Linked DNA regions of Macaca fascicularis. The protein of the gene in region 3 interacts with the protein of the main gene of each other region in a pairwise test. Links are inferred from orthologs where the notes say so. Each region holds a gene or a part of one and is shown on either strand. Other genes may lie near its edges.

Region 1 (3,567 bases), on a different chromosome or scaffold from region 3:
ACGGCTCCTGCCTGCCTCTCCAGATGTCTCCTCTTGGAACCCGGAGTCCACCACCATGCCAGGAGCAGCCTAAGGCTTGAGAGGCCTGTGCAAGTCGATGACAGAGGGCCTCGGATGAGCCCAGCTCTCAGCCACCCAGCCTGGGTGCCGGACATTCATGTGCAGACACCATCTGGAGGAGAGGGTTCTGTAGCCTAGGCCCATGAGACCCCCGACACCAAGGAGCAGGGAAGTGCCATCCCCATGATGCCCTTTCTGAATTCCTGACCCAGGCTCCATGAACTTGATACACGTGGTTGCTTTAGGCCACTAAGTTAGGTGTAGTTTGCTACCTGGCAATAGATGACCAGAGTGGTGCATGCCAGCGACTTGACACATGGCCAGTGCACTTTCTCAGGGCCATGCATCCCCTGACGTTCTGGAAGGATCTGGCACACGTTGGGGTCGGGTCCCACCTGATATGTGCAGAGGTATTTTTGTTGCCACTGAGCTGCTCAAACATTTACACCAGCATGAGAGGGGATTTGAAACAGAAGAATCCTAATTGTGTGGCCTCAGGGGCTCTAGGGGTATGACGGTATGACTCCGGGTTTGCAGTTTTGCCTTTTACCCTTAAAATTCACTTGGATTTTGTATTCTATGGATATGCATCCATGTTAATTTTGTCATGCAAATGTTTAAAATTAGTTGCCAATTAAATTACTCAACTTCCCACCCCCATCTGCCACCCTACACTCTCAATCCCTAAGTAAGAGGATCCTCTGGGGAGACGCAGCACCTCGCCTGGGGCTCTGCAGCCCCCACCACACTGTAGCATACTCCCCTGGAGGAGTCTGGGGTCACACACTTACCGGCATGGTGGCTGCCTGGCTGAGCCCGGGGACAGGTAACTCTTGGGGCAGGGTGGCTGATCTTGGCAAAGCTGGGGTGCTGGCCTCTGCCATCAGCTTGGTGGGAGTGGCTGTAAGAAAGCAATGAATGACTTTCCTAACTTAGACGTACTTAGCATGCACTCATCCGAAGAGGACACCCATGACAGTGGTGTGCTAACACAAGAGCTCAGTTGGGATCGCTGATAAAGGAAGTCCACCATGCAGGTTTGAGGTGAACCACAGAAGCCCAGCCTGGCAGCAGGTGGGAGAAACCACAAACACTCCCCAAACTTCATTTCTGCTGCTTGGTCCAGTGAGCTGCCCGATCAGATGCCTCCCCAGAATTACTAAAAGCAGCCCAGGGATCAGATCTGTGCACCACCCACTCAAGGTCTTTGCTTGGCACTGAATGGATACCAGAGTGTGGAGACGTGATCAGAAGGCAGGAAGTCTGGGAAAGGAAAGGAGTATAAACTGCACGGCAACCTCTGTCGGAGGCACAGACTGCCCTGGGACCCTCTGTGGGGCTGTCCCTCTGGTCCGATGGGGTCCCCCATCCCACTCCCCATCCATGGACTCGCACTCACAGGTGGGTTCTGACATGGCTGTGTGTGAGGATTTGTGGGAACTTCTTGAGGACGCTGATGGCGAATGACTGGTATTAAGGCCCGAGGCACCCACGTCGAGTGCGTTAAAGTGCTGCCGAGGTTCCAGGCTTGAGCCCTTGTCCTGAAACACACACATCAAACAGTCCTCATGTCAGCATCCAGAGGAAAGAATCACTGGGTGTGACTTTAGTTCTAAGTATGTTGACAACCTCAGAAGCTGCTGAGACAAATACCATAGTTGTTTAGGGACGATTCCAAAGACGCTTGGGTAGTGTATATACATACATGTAACCTAAAGCCCCAGAGAGGCTTGCAGCCGAAAAGCAGTGTTTATTACCCTTTCTTGCCTTTGGTTTTTATTGTTTATGTTTTCATAACTGACTTTGCATTTAATTTTGTCCTCAACATTGTCACCTCACCACCCAGCATCTTGACTTTCCAAGAAGAGGGAAAGAGTTCTAGAAATAAGGTTGCTGCTGGCAGTGGATTGTAAACTCATCCAGTGGGACAGGTGCCTTTGGACCTTCCTGGGTCCTTCCCACGCTTTCTCCTGTTACTCATTCTCTGCAGCCTCAGTGTCCCCTGGAGTGGAGAACCAGTGAGGGCAAGGGGTCTCCTGTCTTTCAACCTCTTGCTCCTGACTGACCCTGGCTCTCAGGACGTCTCTGCCTCAAATACAGTGTGACAAGAAAGCAGCTGTGACAGTCTGACTCCGAGGGACCGTTTTTCCATCCTCTGTGGCTTAGCTCTTATAGGCACATGAAAACGGGATGTGTTGGGGCTGGGCGCGGTGGCTCATGCCTGTAATCCCAGCTCTTTGGGAGGCTGAGGCAGGCGGATCATTGGAGGTCAGGAGTTCGAGACCAGCCTGGGCAACATGGTGAAACACCGTCTTTACTAAAAATACAAAAATTAGCTGGATGTGGTAGCAGGCGCCTATAATCCCAGCTACTTGGGAGGCTGAGGCAGGAGAACAGCTTGAACTTTGGAGACAGAGGTTGCAGTGAGCTGAGATCATGCCACTGCACTCCAGCCTGGGCACCTGGGCAACATAGTGAGACAAGGTCTAAAAAAATAATAATAAACAAAACAAAGGTTGGGATAATTTTTAAGCTAAAGAAGAAAACAAAACAGTGACTCCCCTCCTGAGCCGCATTCCTACCCAGTCTTAGAAGAATGGAAACTGCCAGCATCTCTGGGCTACGTCAACGGGCTGGTCTGTGTCCCACGGCCTTGGGTATGAAATCCCATGCGTGCATCTGTGTGGCTGTTTTGTCTTTTGTGTCACGGCTGCAGTGGGGGTGGACGCTGTGCGCCTACAGTAGGGCTGAAGTGACTGACATGTGACCTACGGGCCTTTGTGCAAAACAGAAATACCACATGTGGCTGGATGTGCTGAGGTAAATGGCAATTTGGGGACCTCGCTGCTTGGTTACAGTTTCCCTTTGACCAGGCTCCTTAGAGCGGGGTCCCTGGACCACGGCTCTTTGTGAATTACGTGTTCCTAGTCAGCAGAGAAGTCGGTCCAGGAAGTGAGAATAAGCACGGAGGAACTTGGATGCCCATTTGACGTCTCTGCACATCACATCCACACACAGGAATCTGCATTTTACAAATGCACTGGACAGTGACAGACAGCAAAGCTATAAAAACCAAACTGGTTCAACATCACAGATAGTTTGGGAGCTCTGGTGGGAGCTTTTACTTTAAAGGGATTTCTTAACCCAGTGCCCAAGACTGTGTTTGTATTTTTATTATTATTTTTTTTGAGACCGCGTCTCACTCTGTTACCCAGGCTAGAGTGCAGTGGCACAGTCTTGGCTCACTGCAAGCTCTGCCTCCTGGGTTCAAGTGATTCTCCAGCCTCAGCCTCCTGAATAGCTGGGATTACAGGTGCGCACCACCATGCCCAGATAATTTTTGTATTTTTAGTGGAGACGGGGTTTCTCCATGTTGGTCAGGCTGGTCTCGAACTCCTGACCTTGTGATCTCCCCGCCTCAGCCTCCCAATGTGCTGGGATTACAGGCATGAGCCACCGTGCCCGGTGATTGTGTTTGTATCTTTACATATGTGCATTTTGATGAGA
Region 2 (4,099 bases), on a different chromosome or scaffold from region 3:
GCAAGAGTTTAAAGGGAGAGATACAGACCAGTTCTCTGGCCCTCGCTTTCCCTTCAAGTTACACCTGTGAAACTCATGGGTCCTTCCACAGGCTTCAAAAACTAAGGGCGTCCCCTGTCCTCTCTCCAGATGTCCCTTCCCCATCGCCAGTAGCGAGTGGGAGACAGCTCAGCGCGGGGGAGGGGAGCACTGGGCCCAGAGATTGAAGGCAGCGTCAAAAGCGCTGCTGGAAAATCCCTGAGCGCTAACCGTTGCCTGCATAAGCCCTTAAATCTACGAATTTCCAACACCTGTAGCCTTTGCGTTCCCCAGGACTTCAATCGACCCTGGCGATAGAGAGGGCAGGCCTGAGATGCAGTGACTTGAGGGCACGTGGCCAACTCTGTCACTCCAAGATCACACTGGGGAACCAGACTGACTTCTCCAATTCTGAACTCGCCCCGGCCCGCGCAGGAGCGGCGGGGTGCCGAGAGCAGGGACAGAAGGTCGGGCGGCTCAAAGGGCCTCCTCTCCCGCATCCCTGTCAAAACCAAATCGCCTGGCACAAGCCCGTAAGCAACCACTGTACTAGGAGAGGGAAGGAAGGGCAGGCGCAGCCTAGATCAATTGATCCCTAGATCAATTTCCTTGCGCTGTTTCTCCCAGACAGTCAATTCAGCTGCGTCCCACCGAAAAGGGCGCATCGCCCACGCCCGAAACGCAGCCGCGAGGGGCCGAGAAATCATCCCCACCTGGCCCGAGGCCCACGTCACGGGGCCAGGGACGCGGGAGCGCAGCAGCGTGGAGGGGCTCCAGGCCGGCCGGGCGCTGCCCGCGGTCCTGCCCTCGTTCCAAGGGCACAGCGCCGGTAGGAGGACAACGACGCTGTGGCGGAACTGCCGCCCCCGGCAGCAATCCTGGAGCCCTGCTCCCGGCCGCCCCTCAGCCCCGTGCAGGCCGCGTCTCCCTGACGCGGAGTCCCACCCCACTACCCGCCGCCCAGACGACCTCATAAACAAGTCCTGGAAGTGCGGAGGCAGGAGGCGGGGCGCAGCGCGGGGGCAGGGGGCGGGCCGGGGTCAGGGCAGAGGCTGCGGCCGCGCCTCCCCATTGGCCAGGACGCAGTGAGCTGCCCGGAGCGCGGCGCGGGCGGGGCCTGCCGGCGCGTGCCCGCCCCCACCCCCGCGCCGGTGCCCGCACCCCGCCCTCCGCGCCCGCCCAGTGCCCGCCCCGAGCCGGCCGACGGAGTTTTTAAAGTGGGCTGGCGGCCGCGGGAGCCTCACACTCGCGAGCGGCCCGCCACACAGCTCCGGCGCCCGCCGCTCTCCCTCCCCAGCGCTACTGAGGCGGCCGTACAATCCTCGGCAGTGTCCTGAGACTGTATGGTCAGCTCAGCCCAGCCTCCGACTCCTTCCGACTCCCAGCATTCGAGCCACTTTTTTTTTTCCTTGAAAACTCAGAAAAGTGACTCTTTTTCCAGGGAAAAAGGAACTTGGGTTCCCTTCTCGCCGTCCTTTTTTCGGGTCTGACAGCCTCCACCCACTCCTTCCCCGACCCCGCCTCCGCTCGCAGGTTCCTCCCCGTCACCTTTCTCCACCCCCACCCCCGCACCTAGCCCGCCGCGCGCCACCTTCCACCTGACTGCGCGGGGCGCTCGGGACCTGCGCGCACCTCGGACCTTCACCACCCGCCCGGGCCGCCGGGAGCGGACGAGGGCCACAGCTCCCCACCCGCCAGGAAGCCCAGGTGCTCGGCGTCTGAACGTCTCAAAGGGCCACAGCGACAATGACAGCTGACAAGGAGAAGAAAAGGTAAGCGGGCGTCCGGGCCGACCAGGGGGCCGGTCAGGGGCCGGTCTGAGGCCAGTGCCGGGCTGCGCTGGGCAGGCGCGACCGAGAGTGTTTGGGAGAAGAGTGCGGAGAGGTGTTTGGAACTCGAGGCTCGGTTTGGAGGGCTGTGAGGGGGAGAGCATGTGCCCGGTTTGGGGGCGCGGAGCAGCAGCTTTGCAGTGGAGACTTCTGTGGCTCGGAGGAGTCGGGGATCCGCGCGCGCAGCGAGGCCAGGAGGCCGAGGGAGATGGCCTGGAGGTCGGAGGTGCTTCCGCGGTGCCTTTGAAAATCTCCCAGCCACCCTGCACCAGATTACCGTGGCCACTGGCGCTTGGAAATGTTTGTGGGTGCATGTCCTCGACTTTCTCTGGTCTCTCATGTTGGGGCAGCATCCACGTCTCTATTTTTCTCTGGATTCCCGGGGTCCTTCCAAATGCGCTCCTACGCCCGCGACGTGGCCCAAATGGGCAAGGGGGGCGGGAGGCGGAGAGCGGCTCAGGGACAGGATCCCACCGAAAAGCCAGGACCCTTCAGAGCGCCCCGCTGCCCGGCTCCACACCCCACTGGAGGTTGGAGAACCCACTTCCCTCGTGCCGCACCTTAACTCTGGGGAGAGTAGGTAGTGAGTGACCTGGATTGCCCTGCGGGGGCAGGTGGTTCGGTGTGTAGGGAGCGGACAGCAACACTGGACGTCCCTGGCAGGTCCGGGTGTCTGTCTCCCAAGAGGACAGGGAAGGGCAGCCACGATCTGCCCGCCTGCTCTCGCGAACCTCTCGGCACTGGGTGAGAGGCAACTCCGGCCAACTCTTGCTGCCCTCTCGCCCTCTCCCGGCCGCTCCCAGTCCAGCCGGGCCTGGCGCTACCCGAGCGAGGGTTCGAGCCCTCTGCGCGGCGGGGCAGAAGCAGGTAGGGCCTCATCTTCTGCATATGTGTGCGGCTCGCCGCCTGTCCCCTTTCTCCTCCTGTCTCCACCCCTGCGGCCCCAGTGGCCTGGAGCTTCCAACCCCGCGCTCGGCCGCGGCTTGGCGAGGCTATGCTGCGGGAAGCTGGAATCCAACGCGCGGCCGGCTGAACCGCCTGAGCCGCAGGAAACCAGCGGCAGGGCGGTAGTGAAGAGGTGCGAGGATGAGGAGGGCCCACCTGCGAAGGAAGGGAGGTGACTGGCCGGGAGGGCTCACTGCCGAGGTTGATTTGCTCTTGTTCCAACTTCCACTACGGGACTGGAGCCAGAAACCTTGTATCCTCCGGTTGAAAGCGGCGGTTCCCACCTCGGGGCACCGATAAGGATTTGATAAACGGGAGCGAATCGCGCCTGTCCTGGCTCGGCGCCCGGGCCCTTCATTGCGGGATCGCTAGGGGAGGGGACTGGGTCCTGCTCCCCTTTCCTGGCCGCAGTTCCCCCTTTCGCGTCACCGTCGCGCCCTCACACCCAAGACAAGTGAGGGAGCCTTGAGACTGCAGCCGGCACATCCCCAGGGCCCTCGGAGCCGTCCTGGGGTTCCGTGTCTTTTGAAGGCAGCAGAACAAGGAAAAGACTCTAAGATTCCAGTGCGTTTTGTGAAAACCAGTTATAATGCTAATAATGACTGAACCATCGAAAAGCAAAATTATAGACAGCTCCTCTGCAGGCGCTCTCGGGTCCGGAGCCGGCGAGGGAACTTGTGTATTTTACAACTGCGAAGCCTATCGGGAATGTGCCAATCGCCAAGGTGGGGCCTGATAGTAATCTTGACAAATGTGTGAAGTGTCAGCTCCTCCTGCGCGCCTTAGCGCCGGGTTTTGTGCAGTTTTGTACCGTATATACCGAGAAACTTGGGAGCAGGGGAAAAATGATTTCGACACACCTGGCTACAGTACCTGCTTCGTTAGCGGGCTGTTGGAGAGAGAGAAGGAGCAGGAATGGGAGCGGGAAGAACGTTGACTCCCAATTATTGGCGAGGGCGGCCGCTTTAAGAACCACTGTCGGGACTGCCTGCGAAACGCCTTGGAAGCCGCTGTGTGAGCTGCGGCTCCGGGCTGGTGGCCACGCCAGGGTGTCCGCCCTCTTCGACCTGCCTGGATTTTTGTGCTGCAGAATGGCAGGGCAAACAGCGTGTCCTTCACCATCTAGAGCCCCTTAAGGGGCTGTCCAATTCCTGTTGGACTAACCATTTTGAGACTCATTTACTTTTCGTGCCTGGGTCTGTTTGCTGGCTACAGCTTCTTTAGCGACTAAGATGTAATTAAAATATATGAACCAATGCATTGAAAGTTGGTGTTGTTATGTAAGTGGGTGCTGTAGCTTTCCTGAG
Region 3 (3,567 bases):
TATATGACAGTTCATATCACCTTCTATTTAAACACAAATTTAAAGGATTTATTGTAGTGGAAGTTTTACCAAATAGTGCCAATTTAAAACGTTGATTGTTCTAATCTTTTCTAAAGCTTACCATAAAAACAGCTGTTTCAAATAATTTTTTATCAGGCTTTTCCCCTACTTTTTAACCTTTAAATCACTTTTGTGGCATGCCGTAATCTGTATCCTACTCATCGTTTATGCCAGTATTGGATTTATTGTTTGCTTAAACATGATATTTGAGCATATAGATTATTTCCAATTTTTTATTATTTTGGTGGACATGCTTGACAAGCTTCTTCCTATGAGTTAATTGCTTCGGATTTTCCTAAAAAGTGAAATTTGTTTTATTTTTATACTTTTCATTATAAATTTCTCCAAGTGTTCTTTAAAATGTTTCTATAATCTATTATAACGTTATATATCTATTAACCATTATAAGCACTAACATAAGAAATTTAAGAATGCATACATAATGACTTAAATGTCTTTTTAAACTTTCGAATATAAGTTACAATATACCAAAAAACTTAATAAGCTGAAAACAGTATTGCAAGGGGGCATGAGGATTAATTTTTCCAACAGATGTAAATTACTGTAATTTAAAAAATTGACTTGGAAATATATTAAGTCATAGACCTAGTTAATACTAAAATAAAGCAACCTGTTTGCTTTTTCATGTAGTACATACAATTTAGTTCCTGAGGAAAATAACCTATTAATAATAAAGTCATGAAATAATCAAAATTGATGATATCTTTTCAATGGAATACCATTCCCCTTTCATATTTTAGCATATTTAAAGAGCATTTTATAGCACAATTATCACTATTGTAGATGTCAATATAAGAAATTTAATGATTTATTTATAATGATCTAAATGTCCTTTTGAAAAATCTTTGAATTAGAGCATAGAAAATTCTATACTATCCACTGCACTGGTTACTTGAGAAGCTGGCCTCCAAATATTGTTGGAATGGAAGAAGAAAGGAACAGTAAGAAAGACAACAGTAATTTTACCTGCCTTGTGGCCATTGGAAGATTACAGCCATATATTATTCCACAGAACAGTGGAGAGATTCATGTGAAACCGACTGAATTTATAACCCGGTTTGCAATGAATGGAAAATTTGTCTATGTAGATCAAAGGTAAACATTTACATGTTATAATGATTAGAATTCAATAGGATATTTGAAGCTATTAAAGACGTGTCTTAGTAGCACTGCTAGATTTTTTTTTTTTTTTTTTTTTTTTTTTTCTGTTTCAGAACAGAAAGTTTAAATGAAATAAGGATATGGACATGTCAGTAAATTTGTTTAAGCCAACATGTAAACTCGAAAGAATGTCTCTTAGCCAGTGGTGCAGAAACTGGACATGGTCTGTGCCCACGATTTTACTGGCAAAAGCTAGTAAGAGCACAGCCTGGATTGGGTGGAGGCCTCATGCCTGGGTGTCTGTTCTGTGTTGCGGCTCTAGTCTGGCTCTAGGGCAGCCAACAGGAGCCCAGTGATGTGCATGGTCACTCATCCCCTACCCTGTGCACTTCTTTACTATCCTGACCATATGTGGGCCTACAGTCTTCTGGGAGGGAGTACACTCACCACTTCTGAAGTTTATTTTCAATTTTAAAACCAGGGCAACAGCAATTTTAGGATATCTGCCTCAGGAACTTTTGGGAACTTCTTGTTATGAATATTTTCATCAAGATGACCATAGTAATTTGACTGACAAGCACAAAGCAGGTAGGTATGCATTGAGCAGAAGACATTTTGGGGAATTCAAGATGACAGCTTTAACTCTTAACTTCCCATTCCTGTGAAATTTGAAATTTGAATTATTCCTCACAACGTTGATTTTTATAGTGGTAGACTGTTATGCTGATAATTATCTTTTCTCATTAAGTTCTACAGAGTAAGGAGAAAATACTTACAGATTCCTACAAATTCAGAGCAAAAGATGGCTCTTTCGTAACTTTAAAAAGCCAATGGTTTAGTTTCACAAATCCTTGGACGAAAGAACTGGAATATATTGTATCTGTCAACACTTTAGTTTTGTAAGTAAATTTTTATGTTAAGACCTTTATATTGATTTCAAATGAGTCTCTTTGCTTTTTTCCTTTCATCTTGCTAAATCATTAAAACCATATGATCCTCTGGCCTTTTATTATAACTTGAGATTTATCTTTTGAGTAAGTCATTTACTGTTCAGTGACATTAGTTCTCAGAATTAAGCTAAAAGTTTTCATTTTTGTAATATATTCCTTCTTACTTGATATAATAAGTGAGGGTAAAGGCATTTATTCAACCATTTTCTTCCTACCTTCCATGGCCATTCAGTAAACAATGCAGACATGGATTTCAACTGTGCATTATTGTAAGAAATTGTTTTGTCCTCCCTGTCATTTTTATGTGCACATCTTGTAAGCCTGGGGTGCCACCATGTCTGTGTAGGCATGCCCAGCATGGGGGAGAACAGAAATCCAGCCCAGGTGTTGCTTTAGCAGGCCCTGGTCTGTCGCTGTGTCAGCCTGAAGGAAGAGCCAAGTTCTCCCGATTTTATAGTAGACTAGGATGGCCCCATTCTAAGTCTTACTTTATTTCTGTAAGTTTCTCTTTGAAATTGCTGTAAGGTTTCCTTGAACCAGTTGTTTCCTTATCTACAATACCGAGTGAAAAATAATTTTTTTAAAAGTTTAATACCTCCAGTATTTTCCTGTCATCCATCCCAGTAATCTTTGCCTACTTATTATTAGTACATGAACTAAGAGTTTGTTATTGCGAGAACACGTACTTTATAGGGGAATGGGGCATTTGGCAAATGCCATGATACTTAGCACTAATGTCTTAATAGACCTTGATTTCTGGTGGTGATACTAACAATATGTGTAAATAAAACATAAATGGGCCACAAATTGACAAATTAAATATATAGAGCTTGGTGTAGTTGCTATAACAGTTTCCTTCACCTCAGAAAACAAATCATCTATGGTGTTTTTAATTCTAGGGGACATAGTGAGCCTGGAGAAGCATCATTTTTTCCTTGTAGCTCTCAATCATCAGAAGGTAAGCTTAGTTTCAGATGATGGAAGACTTATTACTAAGACGTATTATTAAGACTATTATTGTCTTTTTCTGGCCTGGAGAGGGGAAAATTTGAAGGTGAAATTAAAAGGAGTTCTACAGGTTAGGTTATAGGAATCCCAACTTTGGTTTAGAAGAGACTAAGTTCAATGAGAAACAGATATCCCATTTAAACCCCCAAAGGTATCACCATATCCCCCTCAAAATTTCCACAGTGCTTTGCTCACATTTCTGTTATAATCTTGCATTGTACTGCAGTTAGTTGTTCATTCTACTTGCTTTCCAGTATACTGAGTTCTTTAAGAGCAGGAATGATGTTTTATCCATTATTCAGCCCTAACAGCTAATGTCGTTCCTTGTCAATTGGACAAATTAATGAAAAGTATTAGGGGGAGTTTTTGCTTATCTGTGTTAGTTTTTCACCACAGGAATATATTAATGTATTACTTGTAAAAATAA
Region 4 (3,567 bases), on a different chromosome or scaffold from region 3:
CCTCAGCATCCTAAGTAGCTGAGACAATAGGGATGCACCACCACACCCGGCTAATTTTTGTATTTTTATTTGTAGAGATGGGGGTCTCACTATGTTGTCCAGGCTGGTTTTCAACTCTTGGGCTCAAACAACCTGCCTACCACAGCCTCCCAAAGTGCTGAGATTCTAGGCATAAGCTAAAATGCAGGCCCTTCTAAACAAGTTAATACATTTTACTTTTCCGGTACTAAAGAATGTGGTAATAAATAACCTTTAGATGCAAGATTTTGGGTGGGTACTTCTCACTCTACACATTTTCCATTCACACATGCCTATAAACACTTACTCAAAATTCAGACCTCTCTCCTGAATTACAGATCCTTATTTCCAACTATCTGAATGTCCTCACACATCTCAAATTCAGTATGTCCTAAAATAAACTAATTGCTTTACTGCTCACACCCAGTCACACAATCTTCCATATTATTCTAAACATGTATGGTGGCCAGTTTCTAGAAATCTGATAGTTAAAACATACTTTCATTTTTACCTTTCACCATCTAAGTGGCCACTACTAAATCTTTTCCATTTCATCTAAGTATTTAAAAAATCAATTCCATCTCATCCATCTTAAGTGCATTGGTTTAGACCCCTGCCATCACTGATTTGCTACAGTGTTCACTAGTCTCCCTGTCCTTCAACTCATCTTCTCTTCTAGGGCTACAATTACCTTACTAATACTCAAATATTATATGACTTCCCTGCTAAAAAACTTTTAATGGTTCCTTGTGCTAAACTCTCTTCAGCATGGAGAAATAAACAAGAAATAAATTTTATTTCTGGTTTCTGATTACTTTTGTAGCCTTACCTCCCACTATCTCTTCCCCCTCCACACACTAACCCTAGACTCTAGTCATACTAAACAATGTATTCCATCCTGCCTCTGTGTCCCTGAATGACCTGCAGCACACTGTAATAGTTGTGAGGTTGGGCTTTGAGAAAAAAATAATTCTTAATTAATAGAATCAAGTCCCAGTTTCATCACTAATAGCTGAGACTTTGGGCAAGTAACTTAACTTCCCTAAGCCTCTGTTTCCTTATAATGTAAAATGAGGGATCGTAATAGCATCTACCTTATAGGGCTGTCATAAGAATTAAATGAGATAATGCATGTAAAATATACAGCATGTAGTAAGCACTCAAACGTTAACAACTATTATTTCATAAGATTAAAACAAACAGAGCAAGACTGGTTTAAGATCTTCTAAAAATTCAGTACTTTGTCCTATACTAAGATGTCTCCCCAAATTTATCTGAGACAGTGAGACTCATCTCAAAATAAAATGCAAACACAGTTCACTGAAGTCTCAACCTCCTGGGCTCAAATGATCCTCCCACCTCAGCCTCCTGAGTAACTTGAGACCACAGGTGTGTAACACCATGCCTGGCTAATTTTTTGTATTTTTTGTAGAGATGGGGTCTTGTCATGTTGCCCAGGCTGGTCTCAAACTACTGGGCTCAGGCAATCCTCTCACCTTGCCCTCCCAAAGTGCTGGGATTACAGGCATGAGTTGCCTCGCCTGGCCCCGCCTAAATTTTAAATCTTAGCCTGGCTGCCTCTTTCCAGTCAGTTTCTAGTGGTTGAACTATTTCACTTTTCCACTTCCCTACTAATCATCTGTTTGTGGGGCCCAGGAAATAAAAACAAAATACTTAATTTTACATTTGAAAAGGTAAGTTATATGTAGTAAAGAGTCACTTGTACATTCCAAATAAAAATTTAAAAGTGACCTTCTAAAAATAAAGATTCCAAAAACCTAGATTTTTGGACTTTCCCTTTTAATAATGAACCATACACAAAAGGATCCTAAAATCTTCCACAAAAGTGGGGCATACTGATATATAATAATCACTGGTTAACTGCAAAGGATATATACTAAAAAATTAGTTCTACAGTTTAATGAGTGTCTTGATAACTTGTCATTTCAAAAGTATTATCATGCATATTTAATGACTCAAAGCCATTCCACCTCAATGTCTGCAGAAAGTTTCAGGCAGTTCTCAGCATATGAACTGCAATCCCCTTAGGGAAATAAAATTAGAAACATACCTTGATGAACTGAGGTGTAGCTAACCTGACAGTAGCTACAAAACAAACTCTATCTTCATAAGACGGCCTATGTGTGCGTTGTATAGTTCCTTCAAAACCATTGTGTGCTGAAGAGGATACTAAAACAATAGGGAAAAAGGTATTGTGAGTTATGCAAGCAAAACCTAGTTGTTACTGATATTCAAACATCTATGTCTTTAAGAGCATAGAAAAATAACAAGTTGAAACACATTGTGAGAGAAGCATTTTAACTCACCACTGTTTAAAGATTTGAAATTTCCTATAAACTTTACATATTCATAGGTAGATGGCTCCTTTGGGTCTATTGTTCCTCGGAGCATATGACAACAGAATTCTAACTGATTTTTTGCTGAAATAAAGAGATTTTAAAAATCACATATTTGTGATATAAAACAATGATATACCACATAAAATAAGATCATAAAAGTTGTGTAAGTTTACAACCATTATTTTCCCCAACAGAAGTCGTCAATGACATTTAGTTCATAAAAGCAGAGTAACTTCAGGACAGGACCTCACTTTGTCTTTAACAGGGAAAACAGATTTTCTGGTGCAAACAACTTAATGTTTTCCTATTTTTACCTATTCATCCTTTTCCTTCTTTACTTACTTTCAAAGGAAAGTTTTGCTTCATGTTCTAAAGCTAATCCTTCCATCTCTACTATTTATAGTCTTTCCTATTTTCTCTACAACCCGGGCCACATCACTGTTCCTTATTCCTTGAGCATCTACACCTTTGGGTCCTTACTTTCTTTTTTTTGAGACAGCATCTTGCTTTGTCACCCAGGTTGGAGTGCAGTGGCATGATCACAGCTCATGCAGCATTGAACTCTTGGGCTCTAGTGAGCCCCCTTCCTCAGCCTCCCAAGTAGCCAAGACTACAGATGTGAGCCACCATACCTGGCTAATTTTTAATTTTTTGTGGGTCTCACTATGTTGCCCAGGCTGGTTGCAAGCTTCTGGGCTCAAGCAATCCTCCTGCCTCAACCTCCCAAAGTGGTGGGATTATAGGCGAGAGCCACTGCACCTGGTCAAGGATCCTTACTATCTACTTTTAAATTTGCTCAGTCTTCCATCTCAAAGGAGTTTTGCTAATTATTTTGGTATTATCGATCTCCTTCCTTTTCATTATGGGCTCCATCTTCCATATATTCATTTCCCATAACTTCACACACTGTGGCTTTCATCCTTACACCTCTACAGCAATTACTCTTCTCAAGATTACTAACATGTGTATTGTTAACTTCAATGGTTTTTCATTTCCATTTCTTTAAAGTCATGCTTTGTCATTCCTACAGCATAAACTTACCTTCCTACCTTACTGACTACTCCTACATCTTCTGCTAATCCATTTTCACACTAGGGGCTTTCACAAAGGTTCTTCTGATCCTAAATCTCTCTCTCCAACTCTAGCATTTTATGTGAGACAAAGTTTCCTATAATTTGCTTTCAGGATA

Evidence for each region.
Region 1: the proteins of BMAL2 (region 3) and NPAS2 interact in binary tests that used the Homo sapiens proteins (3 or more experiments, as listed by UniProt). The link is inferred for Macaca fascicularis from reciprocal best matches to the Homo sapiens genes BMAL2 and NPAS2.
Region 2: the proteins of BMAL2 (region 3) and EPAS1 interact in binary tests that used the Homo sapiens proteins (3 or more experiments, as listed by UniProt). The link is inferred for Macaca fascicularis from reciprocal best matches to the Homo sapiens genes BMAL2 and EPAS1.
Region 4: the proteins of BMAL2 (region 3) and CLOCK interact in binary tests that used the Homo sapiens proteins (3 or more experiments, as listed by UniProt). The link is inferred for Macaca fascicularis from reciprocal best matches to the Homo sapiens genes BMAL2 and CLOCK.

What each region holds. Positions count from the first base shown.
Region 1 is NC_088387.1:5,457,186-5,460,752, reverse strand, and holds part of NPAS2 (neuronal PAS domain-containing protein 2), read right to left. Parts: intron 1,602-3,567; coding exon 1,460-1,601; intron 962-1,459; coding exon 852-961; intron 1-851. UniProt on the Homo sapiens protein: Transcriptional activator which forms a core component of the circadian clock.
Region 2 is NC_088387.1:75,753,281-75,757,379, reverse strand, and holds the start of EPAS1 (endothelial PAS domain-containing protein 1), read left to right. Parts: upstream 1-1,260; 5' UTR 1,261-1,764; coding exon 1,765-1,790; intron 1,791-4,099.
Region 3 is NC_088385.1:30,147,510-30,151,076, forward strand, and holds part of BMAL2 (basic helix-loop-helix ARNT-like protein 2), read left to right. Parts: intron 1-935; coding exon 936-1,176; intron 1,177-1,663; coding exon 1,664-1,770; intron 1,771-1,930; coding exon 1,931-2,081; intron 2,082-3,031; coding exon 3,032-3,090; intron 3,091-3,567. UniProt on the Homo sapiens protein: Transcriptional activator which forms a core component of the circadian clock.
Region 4 is NC_088379.1:78,433,303-78,436,869, reverse strand, and holds part of CLOCK (circadian locomoter output cycles protein kaput), read right to left. Parts: intron 2,460-3,567; coding exon 2,346-2,459; intron 2,209-2,345; coding exon 2,090-2,208; intron 1-2,089. UniProt on the Homo sapiens protein: Transcriptional activator which forms a core component of the circadian clock.